Oryctolagus cuniculus: one gene and its partners. The protein of the gene in region 3 purifies or fractionates together with the protein of the main gene of each other region. This does not show direct contact. Links are inferred from orthologs where the notes say so. Each region holds a gene or a part of one and is shown on either strand. Other genes may lie near its edges.

Region 1 (3,675 bases), on a different chromosome or scaffold from region 3:
AAAGGAACAGCCCGCAGTCATGGGTCTGGATTCAGAAGAAGTGGAGAAGCTGCCGGGAGAGGCCTCCCAGAAAGAACCCAGCTCCTTCCTTCCATTCCCCTTTGAGCAAGCAGGAGGAGGCCTTCCATCAGAAAACCCGGGTGTCCATTCTGCTGCCCACCACTCAGTCCAGCCAGAAGTCCCCACCCCGGTGCTAATCACCCCAGCCTCCATCACACACTCCAGTGAAAAGCATGCCCCAAGCTACACAATCCCATTGAGCCCCGTTCTCAGCCCCACTCTGCCAGGTGACGCCCCTGCTGCGCAGGTTCCCCCCAGCCTGTCTCGAAACAGCACTATGATGCAAGCAGTGAAGACCACGCCTAGACAGAGGTCTCCACTGCTGAACCAGCCTGTCTCTGAGCTAAGCCACAGCAGTCTGATTGCCAGCCAGAGTCCCTTCAGAGCCCCACTGAGCGTGACAAACCCAGCTGGAGCATCCCTCCCAAGCGTTGATCTTCTGCATAAACTCAGGTTGACTCCACAGCATGACCAAATACAGACGCAGACACTTGGGAAAGGAGCAGTGGCACCCACCCTGTGCCCAGCAGCTGGCCAGCTGGCCACACCTGAGAGCTTCATCGAGCCTCCCTCTAAGACCGCGGCAGCGAGAGCAGCAGCCTCAGCCTCCTTGAGCAACATGGTGCTTGCTCCCCTTCAGGTAGTGGCAACAGAGGCGGGGTGGGCAGGGTGGGTAACTGATTGGATGAGACTAACTGCAAAGACCTTGATTTTTACTGATGTGAGACAGGATAGTTTGAAAGAATTATCTCTAAAGGAAACCAAGGACCAGGAGAAAGGGGAAGGAGAATCCCCCCCACCCCGTGACCAACCAAGTAATTACTAGACAATGGTGTAACTCAGTTTCACTTTCCAGAATTATCCCACTGATAACAGATAAAAAAACCACGTTTATATTGCCTAAGTATGCACTATAGGATTTTTTTTTCATCTGTCTTGCTTTTTGTTTTTTAGATTATTTATTTGAAAGTAGAGCAACAGAGAGAGATCGTCCATCCACTAGTTCACTACCTAGATGCCAGATAGCCTCAACAGCCAGGTCTGGATCAGGTCAAAGCTGGGAGACTGGAACTCCATTCTGGTCTCCCACACAGAGGGCAGGGGCCCAAGCACTTGGGCTATCTTCTGCTGCCTTCCCAGGTGTATTAGCAGGGTGCTGGATCAGAAGTGGAGCAGCCAGAATTCAAAGCAGCCCTTCAATATGGAATGCTGGAGTCCCAAGTGGCAACTTAACCCACTGCACCACAGTGCCAGCCCCTGTCTGTCTTGGTTCAGGGTCAGGAAGATCCCCAGATTATCCTGAACTTAGTTCCCATTCCCAGCTCCCTCAGTACTTTGTTTTCAGAGCCTGGGAAGTCTCTGAGCAGAGTGAGGTGCCATGAAGGAAGAGGGCGGCACTCGGGTTAGAGCTGGCAGGGCCTGGATCAAGAAGTGTGTGCATGTGGATATGTTGAGATGTCTCATCAGTGGGACTCAGTGGTAGATCAGGTGTAGAGGAAAAACAGATTTATCCCTCACAGTAATTCATAAGTGTGGGATATGCAAACGAGAAAACCAGATTGGGTGATTTGTGCAAGGTCACGGAACTGGAATAGTATAAAACCTGCTACTCTGCATCAGTACTGAGTCCCTATAGGACCTTTAATAATGCCCTTTAATAATAGTGATAGGAACCGGTGCTGTGACATGGTGGGTAAAGCTGCCACCTGTGGTGCCGGCATCTCATTTGAGCATCAGTTTGAGTCTCAGCTGTTGTACCTCTGATCCTTCCCCTACGAATGTGCCTGGGAAAGCAGCAAGGGATGGCCCAAGTGCTTGGGGCCCTTCACCTACGTGGGAGACCCAGAAGACACTCCTGGCTCCTGGCTTCAGACTGGCTCAGGCTCTGGCCATTGTGGCCATTTGGAGAGTGAACCAGCAGAAGGAAGATCTCTTTCATGCTCTCGCTTGCTCACTCTCTAACTCTGCCTTTCAAATAAATAATCAAATCTGTAACAATGATGATAATCCCCAATCTTAACATTGTACCAAATAATGTATGGAAAAGCCCATCATGGTTGCTATGTATTATTTCTTAACTTTTTTGTTCCATTCCTTTGAAATCTTGTAGTGATAGAGGGGAAACTTAGGGTCTTGGTAGCATTTATATTGTCTTCCTCCAGCCCTTTCTCTGTGTTACAGAGAGGAGAGAATATTCTGTTAAACAGACATGCCTGCTACCACTGCTGCAGGATTCAAGAAACACAACAGCAGTCCTTTTTATCCCTAAGACTTACCTAAGGGCCAGTGCTGAGGCATAGCAGGTAAAGCCACTGCATATGGTGCTAGCATCCCATATGGGTGCTGGTTCAAGTCCCAGCAGCTCTACTTCCAATCCAGGACTCTGCTATGGCCTGGGAAAGCAGTAGACGTTGACCCAGATCCTTGGGCCCCTGCACCCATTTAGGAGACCTAGAAGTTCCTGTCTCCTGGCTTTGGATCAGCCCAGCTCCAGCCGTTGCAACCGTCTGGGTAATGAATCAGCAAATGGAAGATCTTTCTCTCTCTCTCTCTCTCTCTTTCTTTCTTTCTCTCTCTCTCTCTCTCTCTCTCTCTCTCTCTCTCTCTCTCTCTCTCTCCTCTCCCCCTCTCCCCCTCTCTCCCTCTCACTCTACCTCTGCAATTCCACATTTCAAATAAATTATAAATCTGTTTAAAGAAAATGTGCCACTGTGGCTAGAGGAACCATTCTGGAAAAAAAAAAAAAAAAGACCTTTCTATTTATGAATTGATTGATTGATTTGAAAGGATGATAGGGAGAAACAGATCTTCCATCTGCTGTTTCAATCCCTAAGTGTCCTCAACAAGCTGGGCCAGGGCTGAGCTAAAACCAGGAGCCAGAAACTCCACCTTGGTCTGCCATGTGGGTACAGGGGTCCAGGCATGCAGGGTGTTGTAGTGGAAGTGAAGACCAGGGTGAGAACTGGCACTCTGATACAGGATGCCAATGTGGTAAGTGGCAGTCTAACCCACTGCACCACAATGCCAGCCCCACACCAGCATTCTTGGACACTGCCCTCTGCAGCCTGGAGATAGCACCCTGCCCTAGCCTCCTTCTTGGCAGGGCATGCTTCCCTGCGTATAAATTTCCATTTACACAGCAGTAAATACAAAGACCAGGGCTTCATAGAGTTCTCATGTCTTTGCTCTACAAGTTGTCTCTCTCCAATGAATGAGGAAAAACTGCATGTGAAAGGCTGACTCTGGGTAGCAGCTGTTCAGTACTACCTGTCCAGGTTTAAACAGCCTGTTACCAGGTGTCATGCTGCCAACATCTGTCATTTTTACAGACTCAACAGCAAAAATACGCCTGCACAGCTCCCAACTCTGAGATACAGGTTTCTGCTTTGTTCCTTAGGGACTACTTAAGCACACCTTTCATCGGGGGAACTGCAGGGGGAGGTTGAGTCATTGTCACAGTCCTGTCAGCCTCTTCCCTTGGGAATCTGAGACCTGGTTAATGGCTTAGCCATTTCTTGTTGCTAAAATAGATTTTTTTTTACCAGTAATCAGGAAATTTCACTGAAACCTGCCATATCTATTTATCTCTTCTTTTGAAACATTTCAGTCTATGCA
Region 2 (3,675 bases), on a different chromosome or scaffold from region 3:
TCAAATGGCTAAAGCTGTTGGAATTGGGCTGAACCGAAACCAGGAGCCAGGAGCTTCCTCCAGGTCTCCCACGCAGGTGCAGGGGCCCAAGGACTTGGGCCATCCTCTACTGCTTTCCCAGGCCATAACAGGGAACTGGATTGGAAGTGGAGCAGCCAGGTCTTGAACTGGAGCCCACATGGGATGCCAGCACAGCAGGTAGCAGCTATGCCACAGTGCCAGCCCCTTGATAATGTTTTAAAAGCTACAGGTATATACTTGGAACAAACAAGTTAGAGATTCTAAGAAAAACTACCAGGAATGCTGAAACCTTCACATCCCTGTATATTCTCAGTATCTTCTTGTGGTCTGCAGGGTTAGATAAACTTTCCTTTGGAGGGGTTATTCCCCGGGTAGTGTGTCTAATTTCCTTCCACAGTGGTCCCAGCTGCAAGCCCGGGCCTCCAAGGAGCAGGTGCTGTCTGACCCATAGCATACACTAAGGTGTCAGCAGGGGCTTGGCTTGGGCTGTGGGGAAAAGGCTGTGCAGATTTTTCACTTGACGAAGGAAGCTTCAAATTTTGGTCATTCAACAAGGAAGTGTTTTGATGCTGCCCGAGCTATCCTTTATAAGTAGAGAAATCACCAGGCAGGCACACTAGGGCTCCACCCCGCCCCTCAGGAGTTTCTGTGGACCCATTTTCAGATTTCTTTATTTTTTCCAGACCTTAGACCCTGAACCCCAACACTTATCCTTGACAGCTCTGTTTGGGAAGCAGGACAGAGCCACAAGTTCAGAAGCCGTGGAGCCCCCACAGGCCCTCCAGGCCCAGCAGCAGCACGAGAAGCTCCCAGTAAGGCAAGGGGTCGTGCGCTCCCTGTCCTATGAGGAACCCAAAAGGCAGTCGCCGCCGGTGGAGAAGCAGCTCTGTCCAGCTATTCAGAAACTCATGGTCCGGGGCGCAGACCTCCACCCATGGTCAGAGCTGCCTGAGAGCCGGCCCCGTGAAGAGGGAAGCCCCCGTCCGGCCATCCCACCTGGGTCACCCTGTACCGCCAGGGCTGCTCATGCTCCACAGAGCGCTTGCAGAGCTCAGACCCTGCTGGAGAAGCTTCACAGCACGCCAGGGCCAGCGGACAAGCATGACCGTGGCACAGCAGCCCCTGCCGGGCCGGTTGCCCCCGGCTGCAGCACAGCTCTCGCCGCTGCCACCCCAGCCAAGGGCGTGGCGCAGCCGCAACTGCTATCTTTCAATGGCACCCTCCCGCCGCACACGCTAGGACCTCAGGCTCATGGGAAAGAGCGGGCCACGTTCCCTAGACAGACGGGCCCTCCCTCCAGCACCCCAGCAAGCAGTCCCCGGGTGGCAGCCCCTCCGGAGCTACTGAGGAAGCTGCAGGTGGTACCGCAGGAGCAGCAGCTGCCTGTGCCCACCCGGCCAGCCCTGGCAGCTAAGTTTCCTGCAGCAGCTCAGGGCTCTCGGACTGGGAAGCCCTTGGAGTCCTGGATCAACAAGACGACATCCGGCACAGGAAAGCAGGCTCGTTTCCTTCAGGTAACTATCGACCAAGGACCAGAAAAATAAAACAAGGGATCACTGTCATGCGGCGAAATGTATTTGTTTATTAGGCAGAAAGACAGAGCTCTCCCTCCAATGGCTCACTCCCCAAAATGCATCCGATAGCTGGGACTGGGCCAGGCCAAGGCCAGGAGCTGAATGGCAGGGACCCAAGTACTTGAGCCATCAGCTGCTGCTTCCCAGGGTGTGCGTCAGCAGGAAGCTGGAGTCAGGGGCAGGAGCCCGGACTTGAACTCAGGTACTCCCACGTGGGACACCCACATCTTAACCTCTAGGCCAACCGCTTGTCCCTGCAGTGAAATTTAGACTCCCCTCCTGTGCTGTAGGGACTGCACGTCACGCACATTTCTGTTCAGCGCAGGAGCTGAGAACCCCGTGCGTGCATCTCATTGCGTCCTTAACTTTCTGCTGGGCGGACGGTTGCTGCTCCCGCCCCCTGCCATTAGCCGTAGTTTACTTGAAGAGTTCTCACTTCATACTGTCACCGGGTGTGAGGACCAGTGTAGACATGGAAAACACTCCCACCTGTGATGGTGGAGCGTCCATGTAGTCTGCTTTGAAGTCATCCTTCGATACCAAACAACTCCCACCTTGTTTTATCAGTCCATAGTAAACGATCTTTTACTCATTGACTTAGTAAATATTTTGAGCACTTTCTGCATGTCAGGCCTTGTGCTATATAATGGTGAAGAAAAATCCCTCCCTCTCCGGAGCCTGTAATCCTGGAGATTCTTGAAGGAAACAGGAAACATATTAATGCTTAAAGGTCCAGCCTGTTTTTATTTATCCCTAGGTCATCAGTACAGAATAGTTAAGATCGGGAGAGGGATACGTGTGCCACCCACCCGCAACTCCCAGTGCCAGAGGGGAATGTTGTCCATTTCAGAAAGATCCCATTCTTCAGGGCAGGTGGCTCCGTGTGCCGGTCAGTAACTTGGAACAGTGCGCAGACCACAGCCTGGGGGCAGCACCTGCAGGTCTGGCTCAGAGCCCTGTGCATTTGCTGACCAGGCATTGGGTTTCAAAACTGGGAAGTGCGCTCTACTTGTTTTATAGGCCATGTAGCTTCTGACGGTGCCTCGAAAATCTTGCCTTTAGGGAAGTAAAGACCTTAGGCGTGCACCCTAAGTGCATGTGTATGTGAGATGTCGAGACAGAGCCTTCTCGCTATTTATCGAAAGTCCTAACTCTGAGTACCCTCATTTCAGTGGAACATTGTCCCCTTTGTAAGACTTTTTTGCTTTTTTTCCCCCCTCTCTGTGGTAATTTAGAATCAGAAAACTGGGGTTAATAGTTTGACTTAAATTTCTGCATGTATAATTCTCTTCCAGTACTCACAAATGTCAGGAGCCAAGTAAGGAAAGTGTACATTTTGTCAGCCCACACTGTGCTCTTCTTACGGCTGCCACTTCTCCCCTGGGGCAGCCACTCTCAGCACCTCTCCCTGGAGCAGCAGCGAGGGCCAAGGCACAAGCAACTCACCCGCCTGGCTCCTGTAGGCTTCCTTCTGCGCGGGGTGCCACAGGGCCTGCATCATGCTGGCCTCCGTGCCCTTCTCACAGGTTCTTTGGGGTATTAGGAGGCTGATCGATGACTTTCCTTTTTCTTCCCTGAGTTTGCACCAGTGAGCGCTGTAGGAGTCACTCAGCTGGGGATCAAAATGTCACTTGCGTAACAGAAAGTTATTGGAGAACTTGGTTTTAGGTCTGTTAGCCAAGTGAGTTAGACGCAGACAGGTGAGTCGCTGGCACTGCCGAGTAATGCCAAGCCTGTCCCCACACCTCAGCCTGGAACAGCAGAAAGAAGGGGTGAGGGCAGCAGAGGAGCAAGGGGCTTATCCCACAACCCCCGCTCCCCAAGGTAGGGCTGAGGGGCCTGCCCCTAACACGTAAGAGCCACATGCTCGGACACTGTGGGCCTTAGGCCAGCGCAGTGGCCAGCTGGCCCCGGGCAGGCCAGTGGGCCTGAGTGTACGCTGCCCAGCAGTGATGGCGAGCCTGCAGCACAAAGCACCACACACAGGCCTCGTTCCATGCACAGCGGGCACAGCAGATCACCCCGAGCTGCCTAGGGCCCCTGGGAGGAAACCCTGGAGAAGGGACCAGGAGCCCGTTAC
Region 3 (3,675 bases):
GGCAGAATGGCCCAGTGCCTGGTGGAAGGTATGAAAGGTATGTTGTATGGGCCTGCTTAGGATTCACCTGACCCCTACCCAGACCAAATAACTGTTGTACCTGCTGGAAGGCCTGATTGAGGTGGCCCTGCTGCAGCAGCTGCAGGATATGGGCTTGCTGGGCCTGGCAGTCGAGATGGGCAGAGGGGACAGGTGTGCCAGCAGCTGAGCGCATGGCCTGCATGATGCTGGAGGTGACAGCAGCCTGCTGCTCCTTGAGTGCCACGCTCACCTCACCTTTAACGATACGTTGTACCTGTGCTAAAATTGACTCCTGCAGGCTGCAAATGAAAGCAACACCGATAAGGTGGACAGGGCGCCCAATGTGAGCCTCCCCAAACCCACTACCTCGGCTAATGCCCCACTCACACACCTGCCCACAGCCACGTGCAGTTGGTGCTGCACCTCAGCCCGAACGCTGCTGGACACAGTGGCCGCCATCTGCTCAGTGGCACTTTGCAGCGTGCTGACCAGGCCCCGCAGCTGAGCCAGCACAGGTTCCCGAGCTTCCTGTTCCCGTGCTTTCCGGCTCTTCATGTGACTTTCTAGCTGCTGCAAGTCTGAAGGGTAACCGCAGGGACTGTGACAAGACTGGTAAGAGAGGACAGCCCCGCCCACGCCGGGGCATATGACCCCACTCACATTCCTGTGTGCCCAGCCGGAAGCTATCATTGATCTGCTGGAACATGGCCTGGCAGCTCTTCTCAAAGGCAGGCAGCACCACACTCTGGAAGGCTTCACGGTAAGCAGCCTGCATTGGCCCCTGTAATGTGTCTGCAGCTGCTCGGGCAATGGCATCTGTCAAGTTCTAATGCGGAGGGAGGGGCTGAGTTGAAACCCTGAGCCCACCTTGGCCTAAGCCCACCAACACCTCACCCCCTACCATCTTAGGTCCTGTATCACCTTGGACTTGAGCAGTTTAGAGATGTTCTCTTTCATGCTGCCCTCCACAGCTGTGAGCTTGGTAGCCACTGAGTTACTCAGTTGACCTGCCACGGGCTCCAGACTCCTGGAGACACCTGAGGAGCAAGGGGCAGGTAGAGTCAGGGAAGGAAATTTGACAAGCACACCCACCCCCACCTGGCCCACCCAAAGCAAGTCTTCACACAGAACTCACACGGAGGAACCGTCTTCTTGATTTCATCCCGAATGCTGCGCTCCAGCCGCCCAGCCACAGCTGAAGACAGTGCCTGGGAAAGCTGCTGGGTCAGCTGCTCCTGCAGCTGCCCACCCCGCTGCTGCCCCTCAGCCAGTGCCCGCTCCAGCCGCCGCTCTGCACTGCAGCTAAGGAACAGGTCTGGAACAGCTGCCATACCCCTTCCTGGGCCAAGGATGCTGCCTCTACTTCTGTGCTATGCTGGACTGTGCTACGACCCTCAAGGATACGTTCCTGTTCATGCCGAGTCTCTAGTGCTCGTTCCACATGGCCTGTGACCGTGCTCTGCAGGCCTTCGAGCTGGGTACACAGGCGCTGCAGCAGTTCTTCTTGGTTGTGCCGCAGCTCTGCCAGCTCTCTCTGCTGTTGCCAAATTAATGCTGGCCAGTCCTCAGGGGGCTCTGCCACCTGCCAGCAGTACTGACAGTCACACACCAGACACCACACAGACCAGGGAATGCCCCAAAGTCCTTTCCCACACTTACAGGATGGGGTCCCATGAGAAGGAAGGCGTGCTTGTTCTTACCTGGTGCTCTGTAAGCCGGGATCCCACGGCTGAATTCCTGCCATAGGTGAGAAGCACCTCAGGCCATGTCTGGTAGCCAGGAGACCATCCCTTTCCTTGGTCCCAGGATCCCCCTTACCCATCATCCTTCTTGCTTTTCCGCTTGAGCTTGGGTGAAGCCCGAGGAGATCCCTTGGTTTTCCAGTCCTTGACAGGCAGCCGAGGAGGGGGAACTTTGGTGCCAAAGCCTCCTGAGGCAGAAGCAAGGCTGGCCACCTCATCATCATGGTCACTGTGGGAGGCAGAGGGAGGGCTGAGTATCTGACCACCCGTTGCCCTCCCCTATGAGGGGAATGGTGTGGGGTGGTGCCCACCTTTGCTCAGCACTAGTGTCCTGGCTATCATGTTGCTGCAGCAGGTGATAAGGTGGTCGGTGGAAGGCCAGGCTCTTGTGCTTTTCCTGGAGGCCGTTCCTGGGGCTGGAGGAAAGTCCAACTTAGCAGTGAATCACTATAGGAAGCCCTTCCCACCACTTCTCCCCTTTTAAGCTCCTCACCTCTCTGCCAGAGTGGGACAGGTCTCACGAGTAATATCAGGCGCCGTAGGCCAGACCTGACTATCAGGAGTCACAGCCTCCTGGGTCAAGGCTGCCTCCAGGAGGGAAGGGGTACTATGCCGATCTCCGTCCCCAGGGCCTCCATCTAGGCCAAGCTGGGGGCCAAGCTCGGGCCCTGGACGGGGCCGTGGGGATAGCAGGTGTAGTGCTGAGGCAGCTGAGGCCATACTGTCTGGCTCAAGGCCCTCAGGGGCAGAGGAGCCAAAGCCACGGGACAGGGCCTCAGACGCAATCTCAGGGATGTCCTGGGACAGGGCAGTGGAAGCCGAAGAGATAACATCAGGGGAACGGGTACGGCTGGGGGAGGCCTGGGGTAGTCCTAGAGGTTCTACTTCCTGCAGCTCCAAGGACAGTGCAGAGGCAGCAGGAGGTACCTGAGGTGGGCCAAAGATGGGGGATTAAGTGATGGACCGGGGAGTGGCAAAGCACAGATCTAAGACACTGGTATTAGTACTGGCGAGAGACAGCGGTGAAGCGGGGTATAGGTCAAAAACAGCACCACAGCCCAGGAAAGGAGGGAGGGATGGGGAGGTCGACATGACCTCAGGAGAAACAGGAAGCAGTGGAGCAGAGCAGGGCCAGCAGAAAGGGTGTATGGGAGCAGACGACTGCCAACCTTTCCTGCTGCCATCTACTTGCTACCTTGTACTTCACACACACACACACACCTGCCCAGGCCCTTTGGGAGTCAATTTGTCGGCTGGGCCTGGGAGTAGGCCAGGCAGGAGGCTGCGTGGGCTTGCCTGAAGGCTGCTGCTGCCACTCACTGTCAGACTGCCGTCCAGCTGCAACTTGGGGCTCAAGGTCAGCTCCTCGGGTGGCCTGGTGGCAGGAAGGCTGAGGTATGAGCAGCCAAAGCTTGGCATTACTTGAAACCAGACCCTCCCATACTCCATGTCTGACCCTCGCCTCACCTTGGCAAGGAGGGCTCCACAGCTGAAGTGCTGCTCATAGCAGACACAGCTGTAAGAGAGCTGCTGCTGCTACTGCTACTGCTGCTGCTACTGCTGCTGCTGCTGCTGCTGCTGCTAGGGGATGCAGTGATCTGGGGAGATGTAAAGAGTAAGGGCTGTGGCCTGTGGGTGGGGCACTCCCAGGTCCCCCTACCCTGGGGAAGTACCTGCTGTAGGGAGGCAGTGGGCGTCATGAAGGCATCAGGTGTCATTAACTTGGGTTTGGTCTCACTGCTCAGACTGAGGAAGTCAGCAGGTGCAGGCAGCTCTACAATGCGTCGCAGGTCAGGCTGGGAGCCAGGAGAGGCAGATCCCAGGCCTTCAGAGCCTAGTTCAGATCGAGACTCTCCAAATGCTGTGGGGAAAGCTAACATGTGAGTCAGATCTCTGGCCCCAGTGAATCCAA
Region 4 (3,675 bases), on a different chromosome or scaffold from region 3:
AAAGATAAACACTGAGAATTACTTGAGCTCATTACTAAGATCCCACTGTAGATAAACAAACAAGGAAATGTGGGAACTGATGAACATCTGAACCTAGGAAATTATTAGAAAACAAAGTCATAGAAACCCACATGACTACAATAAATGATGAATAAATACCATTTATCACTTATACAAAAGGCACTACTAAAATACAAATATGCTCCTCATAGCTAGAGAAACTCTGGAACCAGCAATTAGAGAAAGAAATACCAGCATTTAAAAAAACAAGCAGACTGAGACTCATGGCAAAGCTTTCAATGTGCTAAATGAAATCAGATATAATCATAAGCAGCTCCATATAAAGATTGTGGTTCTTTAAAAAAGTATAACTTACTTCTTTAAAAATATAAGCATATCACAAAAACTAAAGGATAAATATATATATTATACACACATATACATATATATATCTATAAAAACCCAGGCCCTGGTACCACTGAGACATTTTCTAAAATAATTTCAACAGTTATAATATGACCAACACACCTCCACATGACATGCAAAGACGAAACACCAGCATCAATGAACAGTTTGCATAAAGCTAAAATTACAGAACTCCAATGAGACAGGCAGTAAATAATGTACATCACAAACGGATTGTGCCTGTATCACAGCACACCTTAGACTTAAAAAAAATTGAATTCCATCACTCCCAAGAAGTATTACACATGGACCAACACTGGAGCTCTCACGTATGTTAAGTAAGCAGATCAAAAGCTACACAAAATAGTAACAACGTGATTCATATTTTGTTCTTTATTCTATAGAAGATAAATCTGTAGTAACTGTACCCTGTAGATTTTGAAACAATTTTATTAGAAATTACTAATGCTGGTTCTTGAATAATCTAGAAAACTTTTAAAGTACTAACTCAAATCTAGATTGCTATTTATGTTTCTTAACAATTAAATGAAATATTCTTCTGATCAGTAATCTAAAGTTGCTTTGGTACAAAATTGAGAATAAAGCAAAACTGGCAGCACCACAACAAGTGTGATCATTTCACAGGCCCCTCAGGGACAGAGAATAGAAGTTAAAATACACATACAGAAGAGCCGTTCTCTTGATTCATTTTGTTACATCATTAAAAAGAGAAAAAGAATCCTTACGTTTAGTAAATCATACTTGAGGCTCAATTTTCATGCTCCAATTAATTATACCCCAATGATAATGTAAAACAAAGTTTTACTATTATTGCTAAAAGGGTGTCTAATTCATAGTTGGGGATATTTCTAACGAGGAGGCCAGTGGTTAGAGTGGTACATTTTAATGCTTAGCCCACTCATACTATTTTAGCACAAGGTTTAATTTAGTTTTTTTTTTTTTTTTACAGCTTTATTGAGGCATAACTGATGCACAACAAACTGCACGTATTTAAAGTGCACAATCTGATATTTAACCTTTAAATAGCATGAAAAGTGCCTGGCATCTTAAAAAGGAAAACTTCTCACTTTAAACCTATTATTTTAAAATAGTAGTATGCTCATTTTTTATGAGACATGGATATGGACCTGTAAAAAAGGTGATGCAAAGTAAACAAATTAATTGAATTCCAAGTACCAAATTTATTCAGAAGGTTTAGAAATGCCAAAATTGACAGCCAGTTTTCTTGATTTTCTTCTTGAAGAACTTGGTGCTGACTTACGGTGAGACGCACCATGGCCCTGAGAGGCAGCTTCAACTTGAATAGAAGACGAAGGCGGCGCAGTCTCAGAGGGCTTTAGGGAAGCCGATGGGCGGTCCTGCAGACTCCCTTTGGGGCCATCAGGAGATCCTGGCTGGTTAGTCTTAGCTGGAGTGGTTTGAGAAGAACTCTGGGCCTCCTTATTCTCAATGATCTTTTTGTTTGCAACCCTTTTTTTGGTAACCTTTAGGAATAAAAATATCATTAATTAATAATATAAGCAAAAAAACCACAAATAAATCCTAGTGTCAAATGATACCATAAATGATGCTGCTAACAGTTGTAACTGTTGATTTGTGACTTCCACTTTAACCTCCAGAATTTAGTAATAAAATACTAAAAGAATTTGGTTACAAAAATTTAAAGATTCTCTGTAAAATATTAAAAAATTATGTTTTTCTATCACTTTGTGGTAGAACAGTACAGTATTACTTGCTACAACAGTTATTATTTAGAAGAACACAAACTTAGCAAGGACAGAGTACTCAGACCAGTACTGGATTTTGAGCTGGCACTGAAAAAATAAAACTGAATAAATATATAGTCTTTGAGCATTTGAAACAATAATTCCCTTAAGAAGATAATAATTATTTTTCCAGGTCTCACCTGCAGAGGTATGAACTGATTATGCACACCACCTGGCATCACTCCAGCCATGGGCATGGTCCCAGAATATGGAGGATGATGGAAGGGCTTCCCAGGAACTGGTACTGGTGGTCCCCACGGCATTGAGCCGAAGAGATGAGATGGAGGCATTATGTTAGCTGTTAAAAACCACAGAAAATCTTTCTCTTAGTAAAACAGAATTATCGAAGCCCTAACATTTAAGACCTTCTTCTGTTAGCCTTTTTTTTTTTTTTTCCCTTTGGCAAAATGTCCAATTTAACCTATAACTTCTGCTTAGAACATTCAACCCTAGCAGCCCTTCTTTGGACTTTCTACAGAAAGGAATTTATCATTATGCTGGCATGCAAAGACTAAGGGTATCGTACGCTGACATAAACTTTAGGAATATTTGAAATTATATTAAAAAATAACAGGGTCATGATACTGTCATTTGGGAGAGAAAATCCTGGGCACAAAGAAGTCTTAAGAATCTCACCTGCCCCCAATGCTAAGTTGCTTCCATAGTGATCCCAGCCTATAAGAAAACCAAAAAAGCTCAAGTCCTGAAATCTGATCATTTTCATATGACATGCAAAATCTTTCTTTTCCCTATTCTAGTATTTGTAATTCAAGGATTTTTTCATTTACATTTTTTTTTATTAAAAATGCATCAAACCAATGATTCCCAAACCTGCTGTGTGTATCTGAATTACCTAGGGAACCTGCTAAATATAGACTTCTGGGCAGGGCCTCAAACTTTGTAAACCAGACCCTGAAGGGCCCAGAAATAAGTATTTACTAACAAAATCCATAGGTGATTCTTATGTAGACAGCTAACATCAATGCAGCATTTGTGAACAACTGCATTAAAAATGGTGATAATCAAGGCAGCAGCTCATTGTCACTAAAGAAGATATGCACTAGGTTCAAACCTTTACAGAGAGAGAAAAAAGCAGCCTAAAACAGTGTAGCTTAGTTAAAATTCAGCCACTTGAGGAATTTTTGCATCAGGGAAAAAGAATCATAATATATTTTAGTATTATTAATTATACATAACAATTCCCAGGATGAAGAAAACCTTTAATTTGGAAAACACTAATAAGATTTAGAAAATTAGGTCTTGATACTGCCAACAAGCAAGTTTGACGGGAGTCATAATGTTAAGAACTACTGAAAAGACGCCAAATACTGTTCACATCTTTTGGCTGCTATGTATTCATAACTGGAACATTTGGAGAATACCTACTAAAGACCAAAAACATTTCAATTATAACCTTAAAATTCCTGGTACAGGTATGAATAAATTAGACAACATGAAAAGGTAAATATGAAAAAGGTAAAAT

The links.
Region 1: the proteins of EDC4 (region 3) and DCP1A purify together in Homo sapiens (co-immunoprecipitation; 9 studies listed by BioGRID and IntAct, with this or other methods). This does not show direct contact. The link is inferred for Oryctolagus cuniculus from reciprocal best matches to the Homo sapiens genes EDC4 and DCP1A.
Region 2: the proteins of EDC4 (region 3) and DCP1B purify together in Homo sapiens (affinity purification with mass spectrometry; 3 studies listed by BioGRID and IntAct, with this or other methods). This does not show direct contact. The link is inferred for Oryctolagus cuniculus from reciprocal best matches to the Homo sapiens genes EDC4 and DCP1B.
Region 4: the proteins of EDC4 (region 3) and XRN1 purify together in Homo sapiens (co-immunoprecipitation; 4 studies listed by BioGRID and IntAct, with this or other methods). This does not show direct contact. The link is inferred for Oryctolagus cuniculus from reciprocal best matches to the Homo sapiens genes EDC4 and XRN1.

The regions. Positions count from the first base shown.
Region 1 is NC_091441.1:96,541,012-96,544,686, forward strand, and holds part of DCP1A (mRNA-decapping enzyme 1A), read left to right. Parts: coding exon 1-700; intron 701-3,667; coding exon 3,668-3,675. UniProt on the Homo sapiens protein: Necessary for the degradation of mRNAs, both in normal mRNA turnover and in nonsense-mediated mRNA decay. Removes the 7-methyl guanine cap structure from mRNA molecules, yielding a 5'-phosphorylated mRNA fragment and 7m-GDP.
Region 2 is NC_091440.1:99,743,539-99,747,213, reverse strand, and holds part of DCP1B (mRNA-decapping enzyme 1B), read left to right. Parts: intron 1-704; coding exon 705-1,535; intron 1,536-3,675. UniProt on the Homo sapiens protein: May play a role in the degradation of mRNAs, both in normal mRNA turnover and in nonsense-mediated mRNA decay. May remove the 7-methyl guanine cap structure from mRNA molecules, yielding a 5'-phosphorylated mRNA fragment and 7m-GDP.
Region 3 is NC_091449.1:51,123,671-51,127,345, reverse strand, and holds part of EDC4 (enhancer of mRNA-decapping protein 4), read right to left. Parts: intron 3,637-3,675; coding exon 3,437-3,636; intron 3,362-3,436; coding exon 3,231-3,361; intron 3,139-3,230; coding exon 2,985-3,138; intron 2,691-2,984; coding exon 2,257-2,690; intron 2,180-2,256; coding exon 2,075-2,179; intron 1,993-2,074; coding exon 1,840-1,992; intron 1,759-1,839; coding exon 1,722-1,758; intron 1,604-1,721; coding exon 1,426-1,603; intron 1,313-1,425; coding exon 1,157-1,312; intron 1,059-1,156; coding exon 943-1,058; intron 848-942; coding exon 682-847; intron 600-681; coding exon 413-599; intron 321-412; coding exon 101-320; intron 1-100. UniProt on the Homo sapiens protein: In the process of mRNA degradation, seems to play a role in mRNA decapping. Component of a complex containing DCP2 and DCP1A which functions in decapping of ARE-containing mRNAs. Promotes complex formation between DCP1A and DCP2.
Region 4 is NC_091435.1:139,566,681-139,570,355, reverse strand, and holds part of XRN1 (5'-3' exoribonuclease 1), read right to left. Parts: intron 2,868-3,675; coding exon 2,829-2,867; intron 2,491-2,828; coding exon 2,333-2,490; intron 1,911-2,332; coding exon 1,608-1,910; 3' UTR 1-1,607. UniProt on the Homo sapiens protein: Major 5'-3' exoribonuclease involved in mRNA decay. Required for the 5'-3'-processing of the G4 tetraplex-containing DNA and RNA substrates. The kinetic of hydrolysis is faster for G4 RNA tetraplex than for G4 DNA tetraplex and monomeric RNA tetraplex.